Schizosaccharomyces pombe: one gene and its partner. The protein of the gene in region 1 purifies or fractionates together with the protein of each later gene. This does not show direct contact. Each region holds a gene or a part of one and is shown on either strand. Other genes may lie near its edges.

Region 1 (9,925 bases):
AACTGGTTCAAACCCAACGGGAAGACTTTTTAAAAATGGACGTGTAGTATCTGTTTCGCATTTATACGTTAGTTCAAGATTGTTCATTGCTTTAACTTTTATTTGTATATAAAAAAAAAAAAAGAAAAAAAAGAGAAGAAATTAATTAAAACAGAAAAACAGGATTTCCGCAACAATATTAATTGAAAAAAAAGATAGATATTATGCAAAAGCTTCGGATGGAATAAACTATCGTTTTTTATCCGCACAGTTTTTGTAAAGGATAGATATGATATGTTGTCAATATATAGTACTTTAAACAACGTTCTTTAAAATTTACTCACGTTATTATCGGCTTTGCGTTGCTAGTTAGAGGTACTTCTTAAAGCACTACTATCTTATACCAAAGTCTCCTAGTCTACTAGCAAATACTATTGGGCTTTGATAGCACAGGTATGCAATAATCTTTTGTTAAATCATCAAGGCTTAGTAAACTTATTGAGCACCAAATATGAATAATTAAAAATGCATTAAACGCTTTGTGACAATTGATGGCTTCATTGAATTGTTGATTTAGCATCTCAACATTATTTATTAAATATACCAAGAATAAAATATTATTAGGATTCCTATATCAGCTACGCAGTTTGTTATCTGTTGTAACGATACGTTGGATTACGTCGAAATCTCCTTGTTATCTATTATATTGCACTATACTGGTAATGTAAGTAGCAACTTGTTATTAGTATTCTATATGATTACATTTTTAGCCATCACTAATATTGCCTACAGCTGAACCTCGTTCCTCAGTTCAGTTATAGCTTCTATTCGTAATTATCTAATAGATGTTACCAGCGGGTATTTTTGTATACAGAATAGTTATTCTCAATTACCAATAAAAACACCTTAGCTAATATTCTAACATATGATATTTAGCGATAGACAAGCATAATGTAGCATAACATATAGTAGAATTGCAGGTATTACAAAAGCGATGAATATATTCACAACTTTGAGCCATGGAAATCGACCATACACATTTTTTTGGTGTAGCATATGCTCAAATTGGCTTTAAAAAAAAGTTCATGAAATAAAGAAACTTAGTCATCGACAATGGACCTTGGAAAAATAGAAATCCGAAAATTAACGTGATACTGTTTCATATTTTGTATTATTTATTTAGTGTGCGTGACGCATGTTATTAAATATAGCCTTTGTCAAGTTCGTTAAATTAAGCTTATTTTTTATAGAGTAATTGAATCTATTGACGTAACTTACGCCTGCGATACAGAAATGCAAACAACGAATTTCAACTTTTAAAATCTACCATTGTCTAATATTTAAAAAAGCTAGAAATGAAATTGAGGGATAAATGGAAAATTTATTTAGGGTTAACGACTATCAAAGTTCAATGCCCTTGTTTTTTTTTGTTTCACAATGATGAAAATCGAACCACTACATCTAACTTAGATTCGGTAAAGTCTAAAAAAAAAAGAAGGAAGACGATATCTGATGCTTCAATCGTTTCTAATGGATCTCTAGTCTCTCATCCATCTATTGACAAGGGAAAACTCTCTATTCTCAAGCGATATAAAATGTCGCATCGATTAACTGCAATTGATAAACTAAGACCGCTAACTGTGTTGGTAGCGTGGAAACAATTAAACATTGCTATGAGACCAATATTTCCGCAACATCGTTACACCGAACAGGATAAGAAGAATTGGAAAAAAAAGGTTATTATCGAAGATTTAAATTTTTTAGTGCTGCGGTGTATATGCGCTTGCGAAGCAATAAGCGATTTTGAAGAGCTTTTGGGAAATATGCGAATTGGACTGATAATTGACATTTCATTGCTGGGTATGAATAGCAATGAGTCTTCCTTTCTACACTATCTTGTTGAGGTGTGGTCGATTTTTTATTTAGAAATATTGCCGTATATCGAAGCTACGTTTTTGCCTGTTACTTTTGCAAAATTTGAGATTGCTCAATTATTTGAAGAGCCCATGAAAACGTACTGGTTAAAAAAGAGTGCTAATATAGATTTGAAACTGTTTTCTATTTGGGTGTTTCGTAAATTTGTTGTAATGCCAAAGCTGAAAAAGACAAATCGATTCATTGAAATTCCTCAATTGAATACTCAGCAGCAGATTTTACTCGTCCAGATGATTTCCATTATTTCTCTCATAAAGCCACAAGATGAATCCGAAGATCTTCTAATGAACTGGCTAAACGAACTGACTTTAAAATTTTTATATGTCTGAAATTTAATATGTTTTAATAGAAGATAGACTTTTTATACTTTCAATATTTGTTTTTAAAGCCCATTTAAGCAATTTATCTTTTAATATTTGCGGCTTTTGTTAGGTATTTAATAATGTTACCTATTCCTTGTTACTCAATGGTGTTTCTATTTTGCTAACTGGAGTATGCAACAGGACCTCCATATAGACACTTTTTAAAATCGAAAGAACTCTTCTAAGCCCTCTTATGTAATACCATCTTTCCCATGGGTTTGTAGGATGAATAGTTTCCTTTTACTTGACCATGTGTCTGACTCTCAGGATTCTGGAAGTGAATGGTCAAATACTCATGGGTCTTTAATTTCACAACGTGGAAATGAATACGATGGAATTACGCCGGCTACTAAAGAAAAAAATCAAAATAAGCTAGAAATTCTGAACAATGAAACCACCATCGGTTCTACAAAGTCATCGGTGTCTTCATTGCCCGAATTGAATAGGAATGTTTCTTTTGAAAAAAGTGATCAAAATTTAGCTGAAACAAAGAGGGAAGAAGAAAACAAACGAACTGAGGTTTTTAAAAAAGATGCCGAACACGAAGCGGTTGTTGTTAAAAGAGATTTTCGCCCTAGACGTCCTGAGCAAACCCGGCCTTATACTTACGATTTCTTAAGGCATCAAATAGAGTTTAAAAGAATAGGCTTGGTACCCATCACCGTACCGCATGGTTTTTCTTCTGATCGATCTATTACTTCTAAGTCCTCTCATAAACCTGTAAATGTTATAGTTCGTAATCGTGCTTCTTCACGTAAACCACCCTTGACCTCTACTCATCGCTTTAGAAGGTATGGAGCTGTAATATCTGATAGCGATGATGATGAGTCTAATACTGAGCAAGATCATTCAAAGGAATCTAATCTGAATACAGCTGACAATGACCTCGCATTGTCGTCTACTATTGAAGGAAAGAAAACCTCAACTAGCAAAGAGGCTTTAGAATCTGAGTCTTTACTTTCCGATTCGGATCAGTCTATGACAAATATCTCATCGAATTCTACTGTGAGTGATCTGAATTTGAAAACTTTAAAGAAAAGATTACGAGGAGTTTTACCACCATCATTTCTAACTCTTCAAGAAAAAAAAAAATTGGAAAATAGAGGTGTCAAAAAAAAGACATCATTACACAAGAGTGTTATTGAGGGAGAAAAAATAAAAGGTGTGGCTCGACGGAAGTTGCATCCTAGATCGACAGCTAAACTATCTAGTGAATTAGGAAACGAAATATCGGATTCTGACAATAGCATTTCTACGCCAACACCAACTGATGATTCACGGTTTGACACCAGCGAGTTTTTAGATTCAATTTCTCGTGATAATGGCTGGTTGAAAGAAGATGTGGTTGATCAATTATGGCTTCCTAAAAGAAGTTTATCCGCTCTTAAAAAATCAAGTTCTTTGACGTCGGAAAACCCCTTTCAGCTAAATGTAGCAGCCAATGCTGTTTCTACTATTCCTGTCTATCGCACAACTAAAACCAAAATGAAAAAAAATAGATTTAAATATGTCGAAGTGGAAAAATTACCAGACCTTATCCTTGAATCGTATGGGAAAAAGGCGCCAAAGTTTTTGAGGGTGTTTGCTCGAAGTTCATCTCATATTCCAAAAATGATTAGAAGAAAAAGACAAATGGATTCCAAAAAGTATTTTTCCTTCGACAAAGAATCCGATCGCCAAGTTATTGATCAAGTTCTTTCTGATTGGTATTCAGGTAAACATGAGCTTGTTCAACAATCTCATTCTTACAAAAAGCCTTCAGATTCTAAGTCAGTTGGTGGAAATATTTTTTCTGTTAATTCTAAAAAGCATAGTGTAAATATTAACGCTAAAACAGCAGCAAATAACGGTTTGAGTCATCTTCAAAATTTTAGCGAGGAACTCTTAAAAAAAAGAAAGCTATTTTCTTCTCTTTTTTCTAATAACGTTTCATACAAAAAATCCAAAAAGTTAAAAAGGACTCATACAGTACATGACAAATGCCAAAAAGTTGCCAAATTAGACCATTACATTAGGGACAATATTGAATTAAACTCAAAGGAAAGAGAACATGATTGTTATGAGGGGACTTTAGCTGTACCCCAAGTAAATACTGAGATCCGCAAGTCTTCAAGAAAGCAGAAGGCTCAACGATTTATACGAGACGATTTTGACACCGTCTTTTTTCAATCCTCTTCAAACCCTAATTATTTTACAGATGTAAATCCTTTTTGGAATATAGGTATTTGGTCTACTACATTTAATGTCATAACTTTTAGACCGGGACTTAGTTTGCCCAACAACTCCTTTATAAAAACCCAAGGGTTAAATTCTATTCTTCAATTGGACATCGTCACACATCCTTTTAAGTCTGTTTATGCTTTTTCTTGTTTATTCAATATCCAGGATGATGTTTTTAAAACATTCGAAAAATTAAAAGACACTTTTGAGACAGTCTTAGAAAATCTTCCATACTTTACAAACTCTGAAACTGTTGACTTGTACAATCTACTTTCTTTTTGCTCTGCGTTTATTCTTCATTCTCAAGTATCAATGGGCTTGGTTAACTTGGCTTCCTCCTTTTTAGAAACCTATGCATTAGTCAATGATCGTGTTTCTTCTATATCGGGGTTGAATAGATCACAATTGGTTGAAAAAATAGCTGTGTTGTTTCAAACTTTTCAAGTTGTATTTTATTGTGAATTTGAACTTGGAAATCAGCAAAACATTAATAAAGTTTCCTGGCTGGCAAGTGATTTGATTTCAAAACTTCTTTCTGCTGGTCAATCTGGTCTATTGGAATGTTATCGGAATTTGAGAATTCAAGCTTCAGATACGACTGTAATTGACACTCTTTTTTTGGAATCTTGGTCAATTTTAAATCATATTCTTTTTCATGTATATAAGAAGAAATATGCTTTGTGGGAACAGGTGAATTCATTTTTTGATCTTCAAAAAAAGGAGTTGTCTATATTAGAAATGGAAAAAATTTGGTATGTTATAATGACGCTCAATCCCGTTTTCCAAATTGGGCTTAATGGAACGACTCATTCACCAGGAAACAATAGTTTTTGGCCACTGATAATCAGAGTTTCAGAAAGTGCATTTAAAATGCATAAGGACGGACACAATGTTAAAGTGGTTGAGCGATACCTTCGCACAGTGTTTCTTCGAATTCATTTTCTCATATCTGAATGGCGTTGGGAGGATGTGGCTCAAATCCTATTTTTGATATTCGATTTCTTTAGCCATAGAAAGTTTAATGACCTTTCTTCTGAAATATCTGAAGATACACCAACTGACTTTCCTGATTTTGTTAAGTCACTTGACAGACCTCCAAATCTTCATGTAACTGCTCTTGATACATGTTTTGTAATTTATTTAAAAGTTATTTTAATTTCTATAAGCCGTTTGAGGCAAGTAGATGAAAATACAAATTCAATCAAGAGGATAGTATCCAGATTACAGCCCTTACATTCACGTCAATACACGCGAGAAAGTCCATTCTCAATTAAGGACTTTATGTCTTTGGAACATACTCACACTCTTCTTATTTGTCTTTATTGGGCAGCACCCGAGAATTGTAGGCCCAGTTTAAATCGCATTAGGGATATTGTAATCGTCGATAATTCTCATCTTAAGGCACGTTTAATTAGTCTAAAAGCATGGCTTCACCTAATGAAGTATGTGATAAAAGAGGGAACTGATTATGAACTCGCTCAGGGAATGGAGTGGTTTAATTCCATTTTAAAAGTTACATTTGATGAATATCTTGCTCTCTTTTCAAATGGAACTTCTGTTGGTGAGATGCAATTGGCTGAATACTCGAAACATCAACTTGAAAATGCGCTAATTGTAGCTTTCCATTCCCTTCAAGATTTAATTCCCAATTCTTCAGTTTATATTAGTAGGATAAACGTTTTGGTGACGGAGCAGTCATGCCGGCGCATTCTTAAAGACTCTCATTTTTTTCCTCCTCGCGTTACTCTGGAGTGTATTTTATTTCTAAAAAAGTTTTTGCAGTATCAATCTAATACAGAGCCACCTAAGGTTACCGTTGTTGGTAGCACTTCGCATGATAGTCAAGATGCTTACTTTGATTCTGATGTGCTGGATGATAACACACTCATTTTAGAACAAGAAAAGTTTGAACGTAAATACGAAGTGGCTCAAATATTGAGAACATTTGTTTCACCCTTTTTGTATCAAACGATATCTTATCTCGTTGGAAATGACGAGGACAAAGAAAATTATATTCGTATTTTACTTTTACCATTAATGGAGTGCATGGCAATTTGTGCTAGTTTTGCTGTAGAAGCGAAAATCAATGACTGGAGTTACTATATCGATTTTGGGTCTGAGTCTTGGGAAAGGATTCGTAACACTCCTTTGAAAAGATCTCTCAGTACCACGTTTTATTCCTTCCTTATATCTTATAATGATTCTTTTATTAAAAAACATGAGGAAAAAGTCTTAACTGTATGGTTTGAATCACTGGGCGCTTTAGATGAGGATCATGCTGCACAATTTACGATTTTGTTATTACAGAAAAACCTAAAAAATCCTATTTTGCTTAATTTACCGATATCCGTCAAAATTGAGGAAATTAGTATAAATTACTTTAAGTCGGTTCACTTGAATTTATTAACAGCTGTGTTTTGCAACATGGCAAAACTGTATGCTGATGCCAAGACAAATGGTTTCGCGAGCTCTCAATATTTACAGAGCTTGTTTATTCATTACCTATCCTCTCTACTGTCTTCTATGCAGCATAGTTATGAGACAAATGGTCATTCTTCTGATACTCACTCTTTGTTTGTTATTAATTCACAACGTGTTGTCGGAGACATTTTACAGTATTGTAGTCAATTTGCAAATGATCGTAACCTTCCTGCCCTCAGATATTTTATGGACTCAACTAAGTTCCCCCAACCACCGGAGCGTCTCGAATATACGGCCTTGAGGTTACGAAGTTATGCGAGAAAAACTCTCACAAATTCAGCTTCTCAAAATGCTTTGTTTAGTTTCCTAAAAGCAAATTTTGATGTTGCTCTGCTAGAACAAAAGCAAACTGAAACTTCTAATCTTTTAAGGCTGGCTATGGGATTCCATAATCAAAATAGCTCCAGCAAATGGGATGTCGAGATTTCTTCTCTTCGGAAATTTTGTGTAAAGGAACTTTTATTGAGTTACCTTGGTGAAGGCTCGTTAGCAGCTATGTTTTATTCATTGTTACTACTGGAGGGTCTAAGCCGAACTTACAACAGCTTTAGACGTATATATTTGCAACCTTACATTCAACAGTTACTGTGTGAAGAAATTTCTGTTTTTGTGGCTGATTTAGAGAAATATGCTTTATTATATGAAAACAAACGCCCTTTACTTTCTGGGAGAATATATTACCTTATTTCTTCATTTGTGGCTATAAGCATGACAAACAAAACCAGTGGATTGCCATCTAGTTTAATATGTAACTTACAGAATTTTTTAGCTCGCATAGCTCGAGACTTCCTTCTTGAATTATGTTGGAATATTGAAGGGTCTGAGTTTCCCCCTCCTTACAATACTGTTGATTGTCGTAGCAAATTTGTTAAAACTATTCAGCAACATTGCTCAGCGGATTGGTACGACAACGTTACCAATATTGTACATAAGTCTAGGAAGAAAAAACTAGTTTTGCCTTCTCAGGTGGAACAGGAAGAAGAATACTGGTCAGGTTTAATGGAAGTTACTATTCAAATATGGAAACACGATAAAGGTTTTTTAGAGCCTGAATTAGATAGGTTTCTCAATGTAATTTGCAGTTATGCACCTGACATGAGTGGGTTACCGACAAAAATCAAATGCTTTTTGGATAAAATCGGCTATTCTTGGATGACTGAAGAGAATGATTTTGATATTGTATTGTTTTAAAAGCCAAAATTAAAAGATTTTTCAGTTGTGGTTGCTTTTGGTTTCCACGTTGTTTATTTTATTTATTTTATTTATTTTTAATATTTCATTTGATGTCTGTGTAATACACAAACTCATTTATTAATTATCTCTTGTTGTATACAAAATAATTAGACAATGAAATAATCCAGTTCTGCATATTTCTTTTGCTTAGAGCTCTTTTTTTTTGCTACTAGTACATCCATTAATGTACGTAATTTTATTATCACATGACTGTGGTCTAATTTGACCAGTAAAATATAATGTATTTCTATTATAAGCCATCTGATCAAAAATACTTCTAACCTAAGATAAAACCCAAAATCCAAATATATTATTCTGTATCAGAATAAGCAGATGACCCTTCATTTCCGCTGTCATCATTTTTGTTCGAAGAAGTAATACCTTCTTTTTTCTGGTCTTTTCTTCTTTTCTTATTTTCACGTTTCCTCCTGACATTTTCGTCTTGCTCTTTCTTTCTTTTTTCTTTTAACGCGCGACTCTGTTCGTGAAAATTATCTTGTTGCTTTATTTCCTCTTTAGATTTATGGACATGACTGTGATAAAGTACCTTTCCTCCCATCGCATCTTCAGTAATCTTGATCAATTCCAATGTCATCCTAGGGCCTATTTCAATTAACTTAATTGCCTGTTGCTTAGGTTTTAATAGTTGAGATGCCGATAGTAGATTCTCTTCAGTTTTAGTCGGTACAGGACGATCAATCTCTACGGTTGCATCCTCTTCGATTTCTGAGTCACTTGCTGCACCAGAAATACCATCACCATGTAAAACATAATCCGAAATATCACGAACATTGTGTAAATCAGGGATATCAGAGTCCTTTTTTTCACCTTTCAACAGATGTCTTATAGGGCGAGAAATACCCACAGGCTTCGTGCTAATTATGAAATGACGAAGGTCGATATAACCATCGTCGCGGCGGTTTAATAACAGAACCCGTTTAACACTATTAATGTTGGTATGTTGGACTGAAATTGGAGGAAACATATTTTGAAATGTAGTCGTTAGCAAAGCTTCATGGGGAGAGTCTTTTGACGAATTTTGATTAAAATGATTCATGACCAAAAGTGGAGGAGTAAGGAACTCTGTTGTTGGAGATTTAGGATTTTTTTGAAGTCTTCGAACATCTTTGTTCAGCATATACTCATGAATCCTAAAATGTAATGAGGGACCTCTAGGAGCCCTAATGATTCTCAAGTTCGCATTGTTGTCAGTGCGAGAGAGGACAAGAAGATGTGTAACTCCAAGAGGTCCAGCCATAGTCAAGTAATCTTTTATTTTATTAGCTTTACGCTCCTTTAATCGAATAGCTGTATGTGGTTCCATCATATGTCGAAGATCTCGAGTAAGCAAAGATAAGCTTCTACCTACTTCAGAAGCGCCCGATCGAATTACCATCTTAAATAAGAATTAGCAAAGGGACTAAAAAATTTTACAATTTTACAAAATTGCACATACCGATTTAGGAATTGCTGCTTCTTGTATAGGATCAGCTTTCAAATGCGTCCTCTTTTTTACCTATAATTAAATTAGTTTAAATAAAGTATTTCTTTTAAACTATCCATTCTCAACATACCCGTTTTTTACCAATGCCTCCCATTCTTTGTGGTTGGTAGTTAAAAAAAATTGTACACTCTCAAGAACACCAATATGCAAAGTTCATTTCCGCCAACATGACAATAAAGATGGCAATAGACATTATTTTTTTGAAAGCTGA
Region 2 (8,270 bases), 1.8 Mb from region 1:
TGTTTCCAAAATATATTATCATTTTAACACATTTGCTTATCCTTAATGTCTCTTTAGTGTGTGTAACAAATGATAGAAAAAACTATATTATTATAACAATATTCTTATTTTAGAAACGTATAACCAACATTTGTATAAAAACGCTTTACAGAATAAAAAAGGATTACATTAATGCTCCGTTCTGGATTTTCGTGCAAACAAGCAATAAACTAAATGAATAAAACAAGCCTTCTCACACACATTTCAAACCAAATTTAAAATTATGTCAAACGATTTAAATCACAACAAATAAGGAAAATGAAATTCTAAATGTGTTCCTTTCACAACAGTTGACAGTGTAAGAAGCTGGATAAAAGAGTTCTTTATTAACGGAAATGATAAAAAAACGACAAATACCTATACATCACACTGGAAGATACCCGGCCTAATCGCTGTTAAGAGTTTCGAAAAGGAAGTGGAGACCAAAAGCGGTATTAATACCAAAATAGCTTCCTTCAAAATTAGTGATACAAATTAATTTTACAAATTGTAAAGAATGACTCAATGGATGTCAGATTAACAGTTAAAAAACACAATGAACAACATCATTCCAATACCACTATGAATCAAACCGATTCTAGTCAATGTATCATGTAGCTTTTGGAAATATATTCTTAAAGCACGTTGATTTAAGGAAGATGACTTGCATCAAAGATGGAGGAAGTGGTACTGGCAGGACGATCAATCAAATCAGCAGCAGGACTAGGTAACGGCTCAGGTGATGATGAACCCACGGACCATTCATGATCGGTGTTAGCAAGTTCCATATTGTTAAGACCACTCATGAAGGCTACTGCATTAGGGTTTTGAGTAAAAGAATCCCTTCCAAGTAAGTATGGGCTGCCGGTACGAGCCAAGGAGTTGCTGGTTTTTTCGGAAAGACCATGACCGTGGATAACAAACTCGTATTCCCAACGAAGGATTTTACCAGTTTGCAACTGTGGGAGGCGTAGCTTTTGAGCAAAAACGAAGCATATAATAGCTAAACACATACCGCCGACCAAATCTACAAAGTAGTGGTGGGTAAGGTACATAGTACACCAGCAAAGCCATAGAACATATCCATAAAAGCAGAAGCGGTATCGAGGAAACACATGCGAAAGGAAAAGTGCTTCCAGCATGGCCCATCCAGCGTGAAGAGATGGAAAGGCACCAAAAACAACCGGAGAGTTAGAAAAACCATCAGTGTAAATGCTAGTGCCGAAGAGAGCATCAATACGGGCCAATCCACCAGGAGAGCCACGTACTGCATACGTGGCAGGTTCTAAACCATACATATTTTCATACCAAGGAGGAGAACAGGGGAAAGCCATTTGGATAAGAACACCAAATAAATTCATATAACCAAAAGTTCGAGCCCAAACTGGAAGAGTTCCAGGAGGTGCAAAGATGAAAAGAATAAATGAAATGATAAAAGGAGCCGAATAATGCATGACTCCATATGGAACCCAGGCCAAAATATCAAGGATGCTATGCGTGGTTTTCGAGAGAAGACTAGAAAGATTAGAGCCATAAAGAATATTTTCAAGTGTGGGTAAAACACGAACCCATATGGGTGGACGCCAGCGTTCTGGAATAAACCTACAAGAGTAAAATAAAATTGCCCAGGTGATGATAACAATGGCAGGAAAAAAAATTTGGCGTGTTAAAGGAACGGTCAACGCAATGGCCAAAAGACAGGCAATGCCAAATTTCCCCCAGAATCCAGGAGATTCAATGACAATACAAGCAAAAATCAAATTACCTGCTAGAAACACATATTGCAAATGTGTCCATGACCATTTCGTATTGCGTAGCAAACGAAATGTAGGCATAGGGTTTAAGCTTGTTTCCAACTTGTATTGGGATGCTCGGTTACACGCAGCAAGGCGCTTTTTTAAGGTCGAAAGAGCAGACATTGCTTCAAAGAATTATCAGAGTAAAAAAGGGAAGCGTACGAAAAAAATTTCGTAAGGAATTAACCGGAAAACTAAAGGAAAAAAAAGGAATTTTTATGAAGGAAAGAAAGTAGCTATTAAATGCAAGTGTCAAGCACTTAAAAGTAGCGATGTAAAATATTTAAAAAAAGATGGACCGATTAACCAATGTTCAGCTCACAGTTGCCAGCAATCAGGGCTATTTTTTTATTTTTTTTATAAAATTGCTAATTATATATAATATAATTAGTTTATTAACTTGCTTTTCCTCAAAAAACCAATTCGAGAAAGGAACTTTTGCAGAGGCAAAAAAGCTTCTCCGAAAGAGATACTAGTTTAAAAACCTTTGGTTGCAAATACAAACCAAAATACTCCAATTTAACTATACAATTGGAGTTAGTCGATTTCAATTGCCCCGTATAAATGGTTCTTTAGAGGTTGGTAGTGGCGAGCTGAGAATGGTACGGTCGGCTAGTATTTGTTTAGGTTTGGCAAGTGGTGTTACTGTAGCGCAACACAAGATAGCCTAGCGAAAACAACGTTATTTCGAAACTCTAGGTAATTGGAAGATATTCCTTCTCAGGTAACACTATTCGGCAACGGCAGCCAATAAAATATTTGAAAGCTAAGACTCGTTATTAAACAATAAGACACTAAGCTCCATATATAATTACCGTATCCAAGTTTACTGCACGGAAATGAGAAAGCGGAAAGTAAATCAGAAACAATTTTAGCGAAATAAAATATGAATTTCGATATAATAAGATAAAAACATTGCGGTTGAGGGTAGTATCAGATGAAGCAAATATATTATTGTAACTAAATACCTTAAGCGCATCTAGGACACGTACTTAAGCATGGGTCTATATATTCAATAACTTAGCAATGTTACGAAATATTTAGGAGGAATAGTTTTATGCACTCTTTAATACTTCAAATTTTACTTCCGTCTATATCTGTTGAATTAAGCATTCAAAATGACAATTGACAACATTAAAACAATGTAAATCTATTTGGAAGTACTAATTTTTGTTTTCGATTTCTTAATTAGGAAAACAAAAAGTGCCTACTTGCATTTTCACAGCCTTTTTCTTTGGATTCTGAATGTATACATTAGCACCCTGTTGATAATTCTTTCACGTAGGTAAAAAAGACATCATTAAGCTATTGATTTTAAATGGCCGTAGAAAATTCAAACTGTCGTAGGTCAGACAACACTTCTCTAAAGATGAAACCAAATCGTATATTTGTTAACTAGAAATCAAAATCATATATCGCATATTAATTGTTATCTTAATTTTTGTGTTCCTTAGGTTCTCGAAATTCCAACGATGGATATTCTTACATACATTCAACACAACCCAACATATTAACTCGAACAAGCCATGGTTGGTTGTCAATAATCCTTTCACATTTGGAGGAACTCGTAAGGATCTATCTTCTAAATAAGGGCGTTATATATATTTAAACCTGTACATATCTATTTTCATTGATTTTAATGTTTTTTCCGTATTTGCTAATTTCTTTGATGCATACGATTAACTAATAGCTTTTTCTATTCTATCAAAATTTGACTCTAATCAAATTAAATTGGTTCCAAGCGTTTAACTTTGTGAATTCATGGCAGAAATTATTCATCATTCAAACGTATTCACCTGGGCTTTTCATGTTTCCGAATATGATGGTGCTCCTCTCCTTTTACTTGGATCTTTTTCCTCTGTAGCTTCTGTGAGTTTAAAGCGATCTGGTGATTTACTACTTTTTGAAAGATTCACGTTGCCTGCAAGAACGAGGTCTGTTGCTTTGTTATCAAGCCATTTCCTTCAGTCAGAATCAGGTAGACATTCAATAGCGAATATTTTAATTGCTACTGAAAACGGAAAATGCTACTTGTTGCAGCTCGTCAAAACACCAGAAAAAGCGTTTCCGACGATTCGTATTAGAGATGAATTCGTTCTTGATACTCGAATGTACAACCATGAACAATTAGGAAAATCAATTGATTTATGCCCAAATGCTTCCTTGTGGGCTACTAATTCTTTTGCTGGTGATATTGTATTTTTCTTTTCACATCATCCTTCCTTAAGCAAGCAAGTCTTCGCTCAACTTTCTATCGATGGAATAATACTTCATACCATATTTGTACCTCCAAAAAGATCCTCTTCGTCTTGTGTTACGTATGTTTGTCTTTTTCTAGATTCAAATTCGAATCCTAGAATCAATGTTTATAGGTGGTCTAAGACGGAAACCTTTTCTGATGCTAGTTCTTACATAACCTTCTCAATACCGGTTCCATCCGAATTTTCTCTTGCTTCCCATATTATCCCTTGCTCCAATATTCCTGATCATTTTTTAGTATTATTGGAGACAAAGATTTGTCTGCTTTCTGTCCCACAGATAGAATGTGGGGATCTAAAATTTTTACAGACCGATCTTCCATGCAGCGGTTCACATAATTATCCATTGTCTATTGCAAATGATAACGAAACTCCGAATTGTTGCTATTTAACCTACGAAAATGGAGATTTGTATCGCATTCGTTACTCTATTTTGTCTATTGATATTAATTTAATTGGAAAGACTGGATCTTCTTTAGGAAATTTGATACTACCTTGTTATCCATACATTGTTTTTTGTGGTGACTGTTCTGATACATTAGTGTATGATGTTTCGGTATCGCCTATGTCCTTTTTTGGTAGCTTAATTGCTTGCGCTCCAATGTGGGATTTTGTGTATTCCTCATCAAGGCATAACACTTTGTTGGATGAAGACATCAATTGTAATACAGTTTATGCTACTGCTGGCATTGGTAAATCTGGGTGTTTGGTCACAATGCGTTACGGGTGCTCATCCACTACTTTGCTTGAAGCAATATTAACTGAGGGAGCTGTTTTATCAGGAATTATAAATTCTAACCACAACTCTGAATTTTACGCTTGGCTAACTTATCCTTGGCAAACACAAATTTTAAGGCTTCATCTCGATGGGGTCGTCGAAGATGTTACCGAAAGTCTTTTTTTGGATGATATAAAAGCTTTATATGTTATAAATTACCAAAATACGTTTATCATTATTACGGGAAAATCCATTTATGCTGTTACTCCTAGTTGTACAAAGTATAACCTTCTTGAGGTTTCAGGAGATGAAGAATTTGTTTTGGCTGCTTATAACGAATTAATTTTCATCGTTAAAAAAGATTTAATGAATTTCAAAAGTCAATTGCTTACACTAAAACTAAATACTCTTTCTAATGGTACACTTGAACTTCAGTCGCTTCCGGATTCCTTCGATCTACACGATGTCCCTACTTGTATTACTTCCTTTTCTTTGGAAAGAAAGCTACTGGTGATACTGGTTCATCCTTCACCTTATTTTGAATGCGTTTTCTATGATGAAACCTCACACTCTAGTGTCTATAAAGTCCCCTTAACAGGTTTTCAATTTGGATACCTTCCTCATAGCATATCGTATTTGAGAAAATCAAACCGCGCTGTTTATGTATTGATTTCATCCAACTCTACTCTTTTAACCGTCTATGTAACTCTAACGTTAGAGGGAGTACCGGATTTTAAAGTTTACTCTAATCCTATTTCAACAGACTTACCACTCACGTTACAGTCACCCTCCGATGAGTTTTCAACAATTTATGCATGGTCTGACTATTTGTATATAGTGGGTATCGATATGGAAACTGAACAACCTACGCTGAACCAGATACTTGAAGTAAATGACAGTTTTACTTGTGTTTCTGGTATTTACGATATTCCAAATAAGTTCCAGAACAGTGAATCAAGAATCATAGTGTATTATTCGAATAATACTTTGTACCTATCGGAACTTTGGCTTCCACAGCGAACCTTTTCTTCAAAACTAAATCTTGCAGCAACTCCCAAGAGATTACTTGTTGATAAATATACGAACACTTTAATCATTGGATGTTGTCACGTTTTAGTAAATGAAATTACAACCTCAGGTCTTGCTTTTTACGACTTGACTAAGTGAGTTACGTGTTTCTAGTGCCTACTAACAATTACACAGCTCGCGACTTTTCCCTGTCAATTGGCCTTCAATGGATATTAAAGGTAAACCAATATTCAAACCGGAGGAATTATTATATTCTATGTCTTGTAAGTTAGCTTTACTTTAATCACCTAACGATTATTTAGTTTGGATTGTAGCCGACGATCAAAAAAGAAAATATAGGTACCTTTGTATAGGAACAGGGGTACGAAAAAACGGATTAACTACAGGTCGTTTGTTAATTCTTACCATGAATAAAGATCATGACAGCAATGCTATAGAACTTCGCAATGTCATCACAATTAATATGAAAGACCCTATTTATTCCGTTTGTTCGATCGGAAAACATGGATTGTGTTATGCAACAGGACGAAAGATTGGTGTAAAGATGTTGGACTTAGACTCAAAGAAGTTTTGCAACAGTGATTGTGAGTTACCTGTTCGGTCTCCCATTGTATCGATGTCAACGTATAAGGACTATGTGTACACTTCTAGTTTAAGAGATTCTGTTGCCGTGTTCCAGTATGATAGTGAAAACAACTCCCTTAATTTAGTTTGCAGCGACACATCATCGAGACTAGGCATTGATTGCTTTTACATTTCACAAAAAAAATTATTGTTTTCTTGTGACAAAGACCGGTTATTAACTTGTTTCAAAGTTGAGGGTGAAGTTTGCACGTCTACCAGAGAACAAATGCTCCAGCCAATTCTTACTACAGTGTCTCAAACAAAAACAAATGCCTTAACTAACCATTTAAAGTATTCAGTTATTCGGGTGGATAAAGATAATCATAATATTGTTTGGGGATTGATGGGTTGTACTTTAGATGGGAATATCTTCAAGATCTTAATGCCTAACGATCCGACTTCGTCGGATACAATTATCTATTCTGATACTTAATGTTATCACACATTAGAAATTCCAATTTACAACAATAAATTTATCAGAGCAATACTAATGAACAATTTTTGGATGGTTTTAAATGACGTAGATAAGCAAAGAGTATAATATTAAATTAATTTAATATAAACTTGGAACGCATGAATGTTAATTTTCATTAAAAAAGAGTTATATAAGTCAATAAATCTTTACATGTCAGCAGTAAAAAGTTGGCTAGCTATCGACAACTTTCTGACAGCAGTGTTTCATTCACAATCTTCGTGTTCCCATATAACCCGCCTAAAGATTGCTGGACAAAAATAATTCTTTGAGAGTCATAAAGGTAATGGTGTCCTGCAGAAGTGCAAATAATTTGTAACTGTAATCCAAACTTTAAATGACTTAAAATTTTCCCACTTTTATCGTCTAGTTGCTGAAGATAATGTTTCTGGCGAATCCAGGTTTTAGAGCAATCAACCATACTTGAAACATTATAAGGCACCAAAAAAACTTTAATGACTAAACCGTTAGTTTGTCGAAGTATTAGTTGTAATTGCCCAACTGATGGAATTCTATATCCGAATGGATAGCCTTTATTCATGACTTTGTCGCTTTTTTGACTTCTCAGTCGAAATCGACCGATATAAGGAAATTGCACATTATCAACATTTCCAACGAGTGAGTAAGCCACAAAATTTATTTTTAAATGTGGCGGGAAAACAAGTGAAGGCTTGCATCGGCAAAACGAAATAACCCCAATTTCTATGGAAAACTCAAAAGGTACTGATGAACAGTAAGGCATGTGACCACTAAACAAACTCTCCTCGTATGATCCTATAAAACCACTCCTTTGAAAGCAGTTCTTCAATGAATAGGTATTTATACCTTTGGCGTTAAGAGAATGTTCAGCAGAAGCATCAATTGGTTGTTGTTGAGTTATATAATCACCAGACAATAATTTATTACAACGACATGAACATCTCGTGAACAGATGAGGCCCATTTGAAGGTTTAACAGATTTCTCATTGTTAAAAATTTCGAATTTCAATGGAGAATTACAGAGAAAGTGGTTGTTCGCCTTACTATTACCAGGAAAGTTTGAAAAAAAGTCTTTCATCTGACTTATCGATTTCAAATTCATCCATTCTTGTTCGATTGGAAAACTCCTGCTAGTAGAGAACAAGTTTCGAATATTTTTGTATAGCAATTCATTATTTTCAAGAGACGTTGATGTCGCACAATAACAAGCTGGCATTAATAAAAAAGAAAAAGAAAAGGAATAAAAGGCTTTCGATAATCGAATACAAATGAATGCGGTTTGTTCGCATTCAAGGAAAGTAAGGTATTAATGTCAAGAAAAAACAAAACAAAAAATTCAACACGGAAATAAAGTGCCTTATATCGTGTCAATGCTT

Evidence for each region.
Region 2: the proteins of mus7 (region 1) and mms1 purify together in Schizosaccharomyces pombe (affinity purification with western blotting; one study listed by BioGRID). This does not show direct contact.

Annotation. Positions count from the first base shown.
Region 1 is NC_003424.3:2,406,547-2,416,471, reverse strand, and holds mus7 (DNA repair protein Mus7/Mms22), read left to right. Parts: upstream 1-2,424; 5' UTR 2,425-2,501; coding exon 2,502-8,168; 3' UTR 8,169-8,336; downstream 8,337-9,925. Other genes in the region: EKC/KEOPS complex subunit Gon7, read right to left, coding at 1-87; HbrB family protein involved in TOR signaling Bit2, read left to right, coding at 1,335-2,243; SPOM_SPAC1B9.03C (ribosome biogenesis protein), read right to left, coding at 8,521-9,606, 9,667-9,726, 9,785-9,808. UniProt on the Schizosaccharomyces pombe protein: Involved in protection against replication-dependent DNA damage. May act by restoring active replication forks, repairing unusual DNA structures, and/or preventing aberrant DNA rearrangement at arrested replication forks.
Region 2 is NC_003424.3:592,583-600,852, reverse strand, and holds mms1 (E3 ubiquitin ligase complex subunit Mms1), read left to right. Parts: upstream 1-3,326; 5' UTR 3,327-3,575; coding exon 3,576-5,953; exon of another isoform or gene 5,954-5,993; coding exon 5,994-6,082; exon of another isoform or gene 6,083-6,121; coding exon 6,122-6,876; 3' UTR 6,877-6,952; downstream 6,953-8,270. Other genes in the region: inositol phosphorylceramide synthase Aur1, read right to left, coding at 669-1,937; SPOM_SPAC3H8.04 (chromosome segregation protein), read right to left, coding at 7,094-8,110.